Cricetulus griseus: one gene and its partner. The protein of the gene in region 2 purifies or fractionates together with the protein of the main gene of each other region. This does not show direct contact. Links are inferred from orthologs where the notes say so. Each region holds a gene or a part of one and is shown on either strand. Other genes may lie near its edges.

Evidence for each region. The genes of interacting proteins can lie anywhere in the genome.
Region 1: the proteins of Rab4a (region 2) and Gdi2 purify together in Homo sapiens (co-immunoprecipitation; 3 studies listed by BioGRID and IntAct, with this or other methods). This does not show direct contact. The link is inferred for Cricetulus griseus from reciprocal best matches to the Homo sapiens genes RAB4A and GDI2.

Annotation. Positions count from the first base shown.
Region 1 is NC_048596.1:228,627,689-228,633,546, reverse strand, and holds part of Gdi2 (rab GDP dissociation inhibitor beta), read right to left. Parts: intron 5,277-5,858; coding exon 5,169-5,276; intron 3,991-5,168; coding exon 3,891-3,990; intron 1,588-3,890; coding exon 1,453-1,587; intron 307-1,452; coding exon 108-306; intron 1-107. UniProt on the Homo sapiens protein: GDP-dissociation inhibitor preventing the GDP to GTP exchange of most Rab proteins. By keeping these small GTPases in their inactive GDP-bound form regulates intracellular membrane trafficking.
Region 2 is NC_048596.1:200,485,636-200,492,064, reverse strand, and holds the start of Rab4a (ras-related protein Rab-4A), read right to left. Parts: upstream 4,082-6,429; 5' UTR 3,784-4,081; coding exon of another isoform or gene 3,753-3,783; intron 2,919-3,752; 5' UTR 2,899-2,918; coding exon 2,850-2,898; intron 1-2,849. UniProt on the Homo sapiens protein: The small GTPases Rab are key regulators of intracellular membrane trafficking, from the formation of transport vesicles to their fusion with membranes.

The DNA of each region.
Region 1 (5,858 bases), about 28 Mb from region 2:
GAACTGCAAAGTTGCCTAAATCCAACTTCAGTACAACAGACCTGTCACTGCTGGCAAACATCTCACAGCCTGTGCAGAGCCACCAATGGATTCATTAGTCTACTTACTCATCTGTTCTGTACAGTGCAAGAGAATGGCCAGTGAAGTCTACAACATCTTGGCCCAAATCAAACTTCTTATACAAATCTCTCATGGAGGTCTTCTTAGGGTCAATGCCCTCAAAAGTTCTAGGATCTTTTTCATCAAAGTTGGCGACATAAACTAGGAACTTCCTGAAGCGGCGTTTTTCAAACAGTCCCATTAAACCTGAAAAAATATTTTTTCAAAAAGCACATACTCACAATAGGACACTGACACTTTAAACATCAATTTCATGACTCAACAAATATAATTAATATAACAGGGGATCTAGATAACATGGTTCCCAGGGGCACAACACTTTAAAACACATCACCCATAAAGTCTTCAATTTTACCCCAAAACTTCAGGTACAGAGTACATATTTAGAGAAGCTGAAAGTTTGAAAACATTGTTCCAAAGGCATCTATACTGTTATTTTTCCTCTAACAATGCACATCTGTAACTCAGCCAGTTCCCAAAATTATGAATGCTGCTCCTTTCCCCTCTTTCGGCTGTAAGACACACTCTTAGACCTAATGGGAAAAGACACTGAAGACACCATGAAGAATTAACAGCAACTACCTTTAGAAGCTGACCGCCCTGTGGGTCACTTACTTTAATGAAACTTAAACAATCGGTGAGCTGCTCTACACACTTTTAAAAAAACAGCTATAAGCAGGGCTGGAGAGATGGCTCATCAGTTAGGAGAGCTTGCTGCTCTTGCAGAGGACCTGAGTTAGGGTCCCAGCACCCATATCAGGCAAATAATCACACACAATAAAAATAAAATATCTTTAAAAGAAACACACTGAGCTGGGTGGTGGTGGCACACACCTTTAATCCCGGCACCAGGGAGGTAGAGGCAGGTGGATTTCATTGAGTTTGAGGCAAGTCTGGTCTGCAAAGTGAGTTCCAGGACAGCCAGAGCTGTTACACAGAGAAACCCTGTCTTGAACACCAAAAAAAAAAAAAAAAAAAAAAGGGGGGGGGAATACATGGGACATTACCTTGTCTAAAAATATTAAATTAATATTTAAAAAAAAGCTGAGAGAGAGAGAGAGAGAGAGAGAGAGAGAGAGAGAGAGAGAGAATTAAATCCCAAGCTCTCTTGAGTCAGTACTCCTACTAATAGCATATAGCTGGTACTAAGAAAAAGCTAAGAAAACTTCTAGTTTCACATCCTTTCCCCTCCTCTCCTAAACAGAACAGAACATTAAGAAGGGCCTAAATGAGTGTCTGGCACTATAACTATCTGTTGACTAGACAAATAGGTTTCTGGGACTCCTTTTCACCATAAAAATCGTGTCATTCTGATAAATGAGAATTACTTACTAGATGCCAGTGCTTCTGCTTCAGTGGAAGGAACCTTGTAGATTTTCCCTCCCTTGTAGACAAAGCTCCCTTCAATCACTTTGAAATCCATATAGCGAGTGACCTCTGTGTAAAGTAACATCTTCACCAACTGACCTGAAAAAGTCATGTAATGCAAGCTGTCACTCAAACCTTACTACCAATAAAACTTAGCACCCAAAATTTTCCTAAAGAATTGTATAGCAATCCTTACCAAGAAGCCCCCAAAGCTGTGTTTTCAATGGTATGACTAGAAATTCACACCTTAAGCATACGTTTAAGCTTAATGTTACAACTTGTAGGCTAACAAAGGCCATGAAATATGTACTGGTGAGTGAATTGAGGCAACCTTGCAGTTCTGTATCAGTCACAGACAATTCCAAATATTTCAATTTCTAAGTCTACTTATATTTATTAAGAGTATATCAACATCAAATAGATTAAGGACTACAATTAGGAATCCCATCTGCCTATAAGACCAAGGAGGCTCACTTACCCAAATCAGCCAAAAGTTTTGTGAGACCAAAACCATTTTAAAGATGATTTGAAAGGATAACTACAACAGGGTAGTCACATCATTTTTGAAGTTAGGGCTGGGGGACATAACTTAGTGTAAAAACATTTATCTAGCATGTGTGAGACCCTGTATTCAAACTCCAGAACAACAACAAAAAAAATTAAGGAAATAAAGTATAAAGAGATTCTCATGCAGCAGAGATTAAAGTACACTGAAAAATTACATCAACTGGCCCCATTATTAAGCCTTGTGACCTTAAAAGACCAACGAATGTTTTATAAAGAAAAACACATGCAATAGAATTGTGCAGCAAAGTCCCTGTCTACAAAGGCTGCCCCTGTGTCTTCAGAGAGGTGATATCTATAAGGAGTTCATTGCAAGGAGAACACAACTTAATAGAAAATAAGTCAATTCACCAATAAACAGGAAAGCTGGTCAATAACTAAAACTCATTCCACCCTCTAATGGACAGATTTATGGTAAAAATTCAAATTTTACCTTACAATGGCAAATGGCAGAAACAAAAATGAATACTATCAAGGGCTGGTTGATAACGGTACTGGGAAAGGCAAAAGCCAAATGTGGTAATAAACAGAAAAAGCCTTCTGAAAAAGATCCATAATTCTTGCCGGGCGCACGCCTTTAATCCCAGCACTCGGGAGGCAGAGGCAGGCGGATCTCTGTGAGTCCGAGGCCAGCCTGATCTACAGAGCGAGTGCCAGGATAGGCTCCAAAGCTACACAGAGAAACTCTGTCTCAAAAAACAAAAACAAACAAACAAACAAAAATCCATAATTCTCTCCTAAGGGTACCCAATGCTATCTGTCATCAGTCACACACACTCCTTTCCTCCCTCTTACACCCCCTACACATACATTATACACTGGCTGAAAACTGCATGGGAACTGGGACTATGCATATGTGTATCTCAAACATCAAAATGTTAAGCACAATTAAATCTAAGGTTTTATCCCTAGCACTGCAAAGAAAAAAAAAAAATCCAGATAGTGGGATTCTGACTATGCAAATTTTGTTTCCTTCCTGCTTACTGTTAATGTTGCCTAGACTATACAAACTTGGATAATTTACAAGAATTCAATTATTTAAATTTAAAAGAACATTCAAACAATGTATCTATAATACAAACTATAAAATGTAACTCAAAAAAAGAAAAAGAATAACACATACTATATTTCATGGGAAATAAATTTGTAACAAAAAATTTAGTTTTTCCTTTGTTTTCTATTTTTCCAGACAGAGCCTCACACTGTGAGACATGGATGACTTAAAGTTTACTTGTAGCACAGGAAAGTCTCACATTATCAGCAATCTTCCTGCCTCAGCTTTCTGAGTACTGGGATTACAGGTGTAAACCACTGCACCTGGCTCATTTTTTAATACCATCTTAGAAAAAAATAGACACCACAGAAATTTTAAGATAGTTCAGTCCTCTAAAATCCTGAGAAATTAGGTGATCTCAACAGCTTACACACTAGAAAGCCTTTAAAAGACCATTTAAGACTCAGGCTCCCAAAGTCTCTCGAAGGTACTTACAATGTTATTATATTTAGAATTTTTGTTTGTACTACACCACACCAGATTTGCAACAAATGTTTCTAACTGTGTGAAATGTCTATAGTTTCTTACATACATATATAATATATACTACAAAATCTTCAATTTTAACATGCACTGTGTCACATCATGCTTTTGTTTCTTTTCAGAGCTATTTTCTATACCTCCTTCCCTCCATTCTTAATTAGACTCCAGACACTTTTAATGAAACATATTACTAAACATACTATTGACATCAACCAATTCCCCAGGGCCTCAGACCTGGGATAATGTTCTCTACTTCCAACCCAGATTCCATACAGTCATAAATAATGCTAGCATTCTTTACCATTGGCCATAAGGAACTTGGGAATTAAGTCAACATTCCAGTCTCTTCCTCTCCCCATTGATGCTGGTGGTTGTCCTGGTAACTTAAATCTTTTGTATAACTAAAAGTAGAAAAAAAAATACCTATAATGTAACGAGAGGCTGAGGTATAATACAACTATAAGAGGTAAAACACAAATCATTTTATTTTTAATCAGATAAAACTTTTATCTGTCAAGTAAACTTTTAGTCAGATAAGACTTTCAAGTCTCAATATATTATGTAATTAAATACAGTATGTAACTCGTGAATGCTAAGATACACAAGCATTGCAGAAGTCTTTCCCACTAATTGTTGAATCTCATTCCCCCTAATTTTGCTTCTCTAGCTACACAAGTTAAAAAAAAATTATATACTTCAAATCTAGAAAAGATAGTTAAAACTAGTTCTTTCTAGCTTTTAGTTTTTAGGCTTTACTGAAATACAACTGATGATTAAAAATTGCACACACAATGTAAACACTTTGATAAGTGTGAACATAAGTTTACACCAAAGAATACTAAGCACACATTCACCTCCAACGAGTGCCTCCCAGCATGATACAGTATGAAATAATCAACAATTTCTTTCAAACTAGTAGCCTGTACTTCTCCAAAGGGAAAGGGAGAAGGGGAAAGGTAGTGAGACTTGTAGATTAAGAGAACAGAGAAGAAACACATACAACGCTCAAATCTTTAGTTAATTAAAAACTGATTTTAAAAACCAAAGTGTACTGAAGACCTAAATATCACTCTCTGAGTTACTGGAAATCTGAATATAATTTAAATATCGTTCATTTTCATAAATGTAGTGGCATTATGATGGCATAGAAAATGCCATCCTTAACAGATGGAAGCCGAAGTATTTAGGTCAAGTGCCACAATGTCTTTTTTACTTTCCACTTTTCAAAGCCATAAAAAAGCAAGATCTAGTGGTACATACCTATAATCCAGCACCCTGGAAGCTGAAGATTTATTAAGTAGAATATTTAATAAGCCAAAACTGCCAGGCATGGTGTTTCATACCCTTAATCCCAGTGCTCAAAAGTGTAGGGAGCTCTGTGAGCTTGAAGCCAGCCTGGTGTATATAGTGAGCTCCAGGATAGCCAGGGCTAGGTAGAGAAAGAGAGGCCCTGTCTCATCCCCCCCACCCCCCAACTAGCAATAATAATGAGCCAAAATTTAGACCATCTCCAAAAACTAAAGTGGAGATTCACAAGTAATTCCTACACATAAAAGATGCACTGACCACAGAGACTTACATCTTCCAGTGGTGTTATAGATGCGCTTTCTCCTCCATAGTACGGGTTCTGATCCATGTGAAGAACCTTCTTTCCATTCACTGACATTATCCCTGACAGGATACACTCCTAAGGTTAAAAGAAGAAAAGCCACACACATAACATGCTAAAATGGTTCTTTATTAAAAAGTAAGCTCTCTGGGCATTGGTGGCACACACCTTTAATCCCAGCACTCTGGAGGCAGAGGCAGAGGCAGGCGGATCTCTGTGAGTTTGAGGCCAGCCTGGTCTCCACAGCGAGTGCCAGGATAGGCTCCAAAGCTACACAGAGAAACCCTGTCTTGAAAAACCAAAAAAAAAAAAAAAGTAAACTCACTAGCAGTCTCATAGTAATTAAAACACTTGCTCACCATAACAAAACCAGCAGGCTTAAAGCCTCTCTTGGGTTCCTGTGAGTTCCCAGGTGAAAATTGGTTTCACAATAAGGGCTTGTACCAGTCACTGTTGTTTACTGGGCTGTCATTTATAGTAATGCCATATCACAGGTGGACAGACAAAGGCAGAGGCTTTCAACTACAGCCTGCCACTCTACTGTTTCCTACCAGGCATTCACTAAGGTCGTCCAAGAGGCACTGAGATTTAACTTAATAAAGGCACATCTGAAATACCCACCTTTTCATACACTGCTCGTGACAAAACTGAAGTGCCATA
Region 2 (6,429 bases):
TACCTTCCGAGGCTTTTACCTTAAAGTGTCCCAAGTCCACTGGCTTAATGTGGCAGATATTTGCTGTCAGAGCCAGAGGCTGCAGTGAGGTGTGGCAGCATTTGAGCTCCTGCAGGCTCAGGAAGGGGTGCTTCCTGTCTCTTCCTAGTTTCTGGTGGTTGGCAGCTATGCTGGGGGTACCTTGACTGGGTACTGGACCTCTCCAACCTGAGGCTCGCTGCCAAAGCCCACTCTCCTTGTGTATGTACAAACATGTATGTCCATATTTCTCTGGTCTCACTGGAACACAGTCACCAAGTTTGAGACATAAAACCCCAGCGTGACTCCACCTTCAATAATCACCAGCAAAGACCTTGTCCCAAATAAGGTCACATCCACAGGTCCAGAGCTAGGATGTATGTGTGACTTTGAGGACACAATTCAAACCTCATGCACACAAATGAGGATGCGCAGTTAGCAGAAAAACACCCTGATGATCTCAACCTTATCTGTTAGACACCAGAACGCTGTGTGTTATTTTCGAGGTGGAATATACTATGCTGAATATACTAGGACAGAAACCACCATGGGGCCAGCAACATGAGCAGAATTCTTATGTCTCAGGAGTTTCTCGCATAGCACCTGGCATAAATTGTAATGCACAGTCACCTGTCTCAAATTCTTCCTCCAGGTCAGTCTTCTCTGTCCTGGAGGTTTAAAAGCTCCCTGGCACTTTCCCACCACATACACTGCTTAGTAATTTCTGTGACTCACCATTGGGTGTCAGGAAGTACTTGAGGATAGCTTTCAAACTCTCAGGTCTCAGGCTGCCAACATGAATCCTTGGCCCCGATAATGCTCATTGAACGCATATAGCCATAGGATGCTGTGTCTCTAACAATAACTAGGAGAACCTCCCTTCGGGTTAGGGACATTCACTTTTGCTAGCTGGGACCAAAATGCCCAAGAGAACTGAAGGGAGGAGGGATTTGTTTGGCTTAGTTTCACAGGAGTCAGCCCATCGCAGCTGGGGATATGTGATGGGACAGTTGACATCAACAGAGGCCAGGAAGCAGAGAGAAGGGACTACAAGAAGAGGCAGGGGTGAAAAAGAGCTCCAAGGACATTCCTCCAGTTTCTTCCAGTCATGTCCTACCTCCAACCTCTTTGATCACCTGCCAATAATAACATCAGATAATGAATATATCAAGGGTTTAATTCATTGATTAGTCTGGAGCCTCTAGTATCTAATCATGTCTAGAAACCCACCACAGCCACACCCAGTAGTATACTTTACTAATATCCTAGTGTCTCAGTCTCATCAGGTGGACTAGGCTAACCACATTTCAAAAGTGAAAAGCCTACCTGTTTAACATTCCAATTTACATTATTACGTGATCTAAAGCACAGTGTTCGTGGAGTTAGGGACTTCAGATCAAGAAAGTGCTGACCACCACTCAGCCTGTGCAATGTGCCAGGACTGTTCTACAGGCCATTAGCAGCCAGCTCAATAGCAGTAGCCATAAACACTGGCTCCCATTTTTCATTGAATTTCCACCAAGCTGCACAGAACCTCCTTTCACGGAAGAGAGAAAACCAGCCTCAAACACACGGAACTTAAAGGTTAGGCAAACATTCCTATGCCAGCCAACAGGCAAAGGTCTGGAAGGAGAGGTCTTGGTTGTTTTAATTTGGGGAACAATACTGTGTAAACATAGTCAAGGATGAGTGAAGGTGACAGCCTCTGCCTTGGTTCTGGGTGACTATTCTTTTATGCCAGCAGCTTTAGAGACCACTCTTGCCTCTTTCTAAAGCTAAACTTCCACTTATTAGTTTCTATTTGCTTTTTGTTTGTTTCCTCCATTGAAAGGAAAGACTAAATTCAGACTTAGTTAAAAAGTAAAAACCTAGCCGGGCGTTGGTGGCGCACACCTTTAATCCCAGCACTCGGGAGGCAGAGGCAGGTGGATCTCTGTGAGTTCGAGACCAGCCTGGTCTACAAGAGCTAGTTCCAGGACAGCCTCCAAAGCCACAGAGAAACCCTGTCTCAAAAAACAAAAACAAAAAAACCCCCCAAAAAACAAAAGTAAAAACCAGGACATGGGGACACATGGATATTGTGGATATTGCTTCAAGTGTGGGGCCAGCCTGGGCTAAGTTGTCCAGAACTATATATAGAGAAACTGTCTCAAAATAAACAAAAATTAAAACTAAAGGCATATTTGGAAAATACCTTGAAATGAAGGAAAAGGTAAACACACCTGTAGCCCTGACAAAACCGATACCCATAGATAGTGTCTTAGGGTCAGACAAATGCCTCAGTGCCACAAGAGTGCTGGTGCCAGGAGACAGTGCACCAGGCTACTGTGTGCCTCATAATACCCTTCCCAGGGTCCCACCCTCTCAAAGTCCAAACCTCAAGGTTCTTTAACTGCCTACTCAAGTTAAGGTGCCCAAACCATGCTCCCAGACCAGATCCCCAGATCTGCCTGTCCACATGCCCCTCTCTGACCCATCTGGGTCAGCTCTTTCTCACACAGTTGGACAGACCAAGCTCTTTTGGAACTGCTGCCTGGATTTTAATTGTTCATCTATTAAGGTCACAACTGGATTAACAATCTATTCCTCACTGGACTGCAAACTCTTGGGGAAGTTTCCATAGCACTTTTACAATGATTAGAATCTCCCTGGCTGGACCCTGGCCCCACCCTGTGGCAGGAAAGTAGCAGGTTAACACATTGGGATAACACGAAATGATCACCATGCTTTTACATGGGAGTCCCTCCCTGTAACCAGCACATACCAAGTCAAAGTCTCAAGTCTCAGTTAGGGGCTGGCAACCATGCACACTACCAGTTGTTTATTCTTACCTCGACTGGGTGTGTGGGGGGAGGAGGGGCGGGACAATACCCAGCACATGCATTAGAAACGGCTGGGTGCTGTAGGAGAAACAAAGATGAAAAACACAGCTCCATATCCAAGGCTTATGGTCATAAAGAGGACATATGTTTATAAAAAGCTATAATGCAACCCAAACAGGGATGAGGGAGGGATGGAAAGATACACGAGGCTAGGGGGTCTCCAGAAAAGAGATGCACTCAACCATTTAAAACTCATTATAATCTCAATGCAAAGAAAGGAATTCCAAACCTTGAGGGGCCCACAGCCATGCCCCCAAAGACACTAAATGCAGGCGTGGCCGAGCCTTCATCCCTGCGCTCGGTGCTGCAGTGGGGAGGGGGAGAATCAGTGATAAACCGGCTCCCCCAACCTTGATCTATTTAAATAATCCAATGTAGGGTCAAAGCAGGAGGGAACTTGGAAGAGAGGATCACAATGCTTTGCACAGCTAGGAGCACCTACTGGCCAGAGAGTCCAACCCAGCTCCCGACACCCTCCACCCCCATCCTCAAGATTCCAGCCCAGCCTCAAACATCCAGGCGCTCTCAAGTTCTAGCCCGACCTTGACACTCCAAGAATCTCAGGATCCCAGCAGCTGACACCCCGGGATTCTCAGTATCTCCACCTGACCCCTGAGACCTAGATTCTCAGAATCCCAAGATTACTAGGATCCCAGCCCAGCCATAAACATCCCAAGATTCTCAGTATCTTCACCTGGCCCCTGACACCGCGAGGTTCTTAGGATCCCAGTCCAGTCCCAACATCTCGATATTCTAAACACCGGCTCTGGATACCCTAACCCCAGCCACAAACATTCCGGGATCCCAAGGCCTGCCCCCCTACACACATACCCACGAACCAGCGCGATTTACCGTAAGTCTCGGACATGGCGGTCTGCGCCATTCTGTCGCTACAGTTCCGCGTGGTCCGGTCAGTCCTCTGGTGTCCGCAGAGCGAGGGGGAACCGAGCGTGGAGGGCCGGGTACAGGCCCACTGCGAGCCGGCCACCGGCTGCGGCCCAGCGGGACTCGGCTCCGCGCCTGCGCACCGCCGCCCCGCTGAGGAGCCAGGCCGGGGTGGGGGGAGGCGGGGTCGCTGGAGGGAGGAGGAGCAGGGCTGGGGAAGGGGTGGAGGGACAGGGAGAGAACTGGTGAGAGGCTCCTACTCCAAGGAGGAGGTGAAGCGAAGGAAGATGAAGGAGGGGGACCAGGAAGGAAGGAGGGGCGGGGCTCGGGTGGGGTGCCTGCACCCGGTAGGTCCTCCCAGATGGCATTGCAACACAGACTCAGTCATCCTTAAGTATGACCTAGCAAGCCAGGGGTGGACCGGGGGCTTGCTTTGAAGGAAAACGGGGTGGGGGGAGGGGGTGGGGGGTGGGAGGTTGGTTCACCAGCTGAAAGCCAAGCTCTTACCCCAGGCAAGAGTAATTGGTCACCTGAACTCCCCGACTCAAGACTTTCAGGGAACTGTGCATTGGAGATTGGGGCACAATGTTGCCTGGCCCTTACTGCAGGCTAATTTCAAAGGTGTGTTCGGCTTAGGAAACAATGCAGGACAGAACCTGCTCCTATCCCAAAGAAAGGGGTCCGGGACAATTACTGAAAGGCAAACTGGGAATTTGGCCCACCTGAGCAAACCAGGCCCTAAGAGCCTACCTTCTTCACAGTAGCAACAGAGGCCTGAATGGTGGAGAAGGCCACTGTGTACCTTTTCATCCTAGGCCATCTGGCTCTGCCACGAATCTATCACCTGCTCCGTGCTGTCTGGTTCAATATTTCACTCTCGTGTTTTCTCACACAGGAAATTAGGAAAAGAGCCCTCATCCTGAAGACTTGTTGAAGCCTCTTGCTGGCACAGTACGCACAATTTGCAGTTGAGATTGCCTAGCAAGGTATCCCTTGTCTGTAATCTCAGCATTCGGGAGGCATAGGCTGGAGGATTGTTTTGAATTGGAGGGGAAACAAAGATAAAAGAGACACAGCTCAAAAAGAAATGAATAAGTTTTAAAAGTACAAAAATGATTGCTTACACAATTTTGAAATAGAGATATTTCATATAAGAAGTTAAGATAGCAATGAACTGTGCTTATGGCCCCAGTATGTGAGCTTTGAGCTTAGCTTAGTTTCTTTCCCAGATGTAAATCTGTACTATTTCTGAGGACCTCACAAACAAGATTACATTCAAAACACATGTCTTAGTTAGGCATGGTGGCACAGGCCTTTAATTCTAGAACCCAGGAAGCAGAATCAAGCAGATCTCTGAGTTTGAGTCCAGTCTGGTTCACAGAGTGAGTTCTAGGCAAGCCAGGGCTGCTTTGTGAGACTCTGTCTCAAAAACAAACAAACAAACAAAAATGTCTTAACTTTTATGACTTAATATAGTAAAGAATCTTTTGGCCCTTGTGACCTATGTTTTTATCTTGGCCTCTAATCCTATGAAGTGTACCTCAGAAACAACTCTATGACCTAATTTTTTAAAAAGAAAGGGAGGGCATCAAAATTGCCAAGTATGATATCGTGTTTGTAGTTCTATCCCTCAAGAAATGGAGGAAGGAATATTGAGAGTTCAAACCAGCCAATCTTAGCTACATGAGACCCTGTCCTGGTTGGTATTTTTTGTCAACTTGACATGAGCTGGTATCTGAGAAGAAGGCACCACAATTGAGAAAATTATTTCATAAAATTGGTCTGTAGGCAAGCTGGTGGGGCATTTTCTTGATTAGTGGCCCATCCCACTATGGTGCCACCACTGGGCAGGTAGCCTGAGTTCTATAAGAAAACAGGCTGAGCTAGGCATGAGGAACAAGCCAGTAAGCAGCACTCCTCCATGGCTTCTGCTTCAGTTCCTGCCTCCAGTTTCTACCTTAACTTTCTTTGATGACACACTTTGATGTGGAAGTATACTCTGAAATAAACATTTCCTCCTCAAGTTGCTTTTGGTTGTGGTGTTTTATCACAGTAATAGAAAGAAAACTCCAGCTAACCTGCCTCAAAAAACAAAAGCAAGGGCTGGGAGGTGAGCCATTTGGTAAGTGCTTGTCATACAAAGTATGAGGACCTGAGCTGAGATTCTCAGTGTAAAAAGCTGTAACCCTAACACTGGGAAGACAGTGACAGAGACCCACGGGGCCTACTGGTCAGCTATTCTTGTGAAATCAGTAACCTCCAGATTTAGAAATAAACTGTCAGAAAAGAAGGTAGTGATAGAGAAAGATACCCAATATCAACATCTGGCCTCTACATACATGTGCACAGACATACATGTCCACCTGTACACACATACACATACAACAAAACAAAAAAACTAACAAAACAAAACAAAAAAAACAGGGCTGACAGAATGGCCTAGTGAGTAAAGGTACTTGTCACCAAGGCTGATGACCTGGCACCAAAAACATAGAAAGTTCATCCTCTGACTGCAATGCTCACTTATGCAACACAAAATAAATAGTAAGCATACATGTGTACATGCACATACACAATAAATAAATGTATAAAAGAATTAAAATAAAACCAAAATCATAAACATAATATATTATATATAATATTA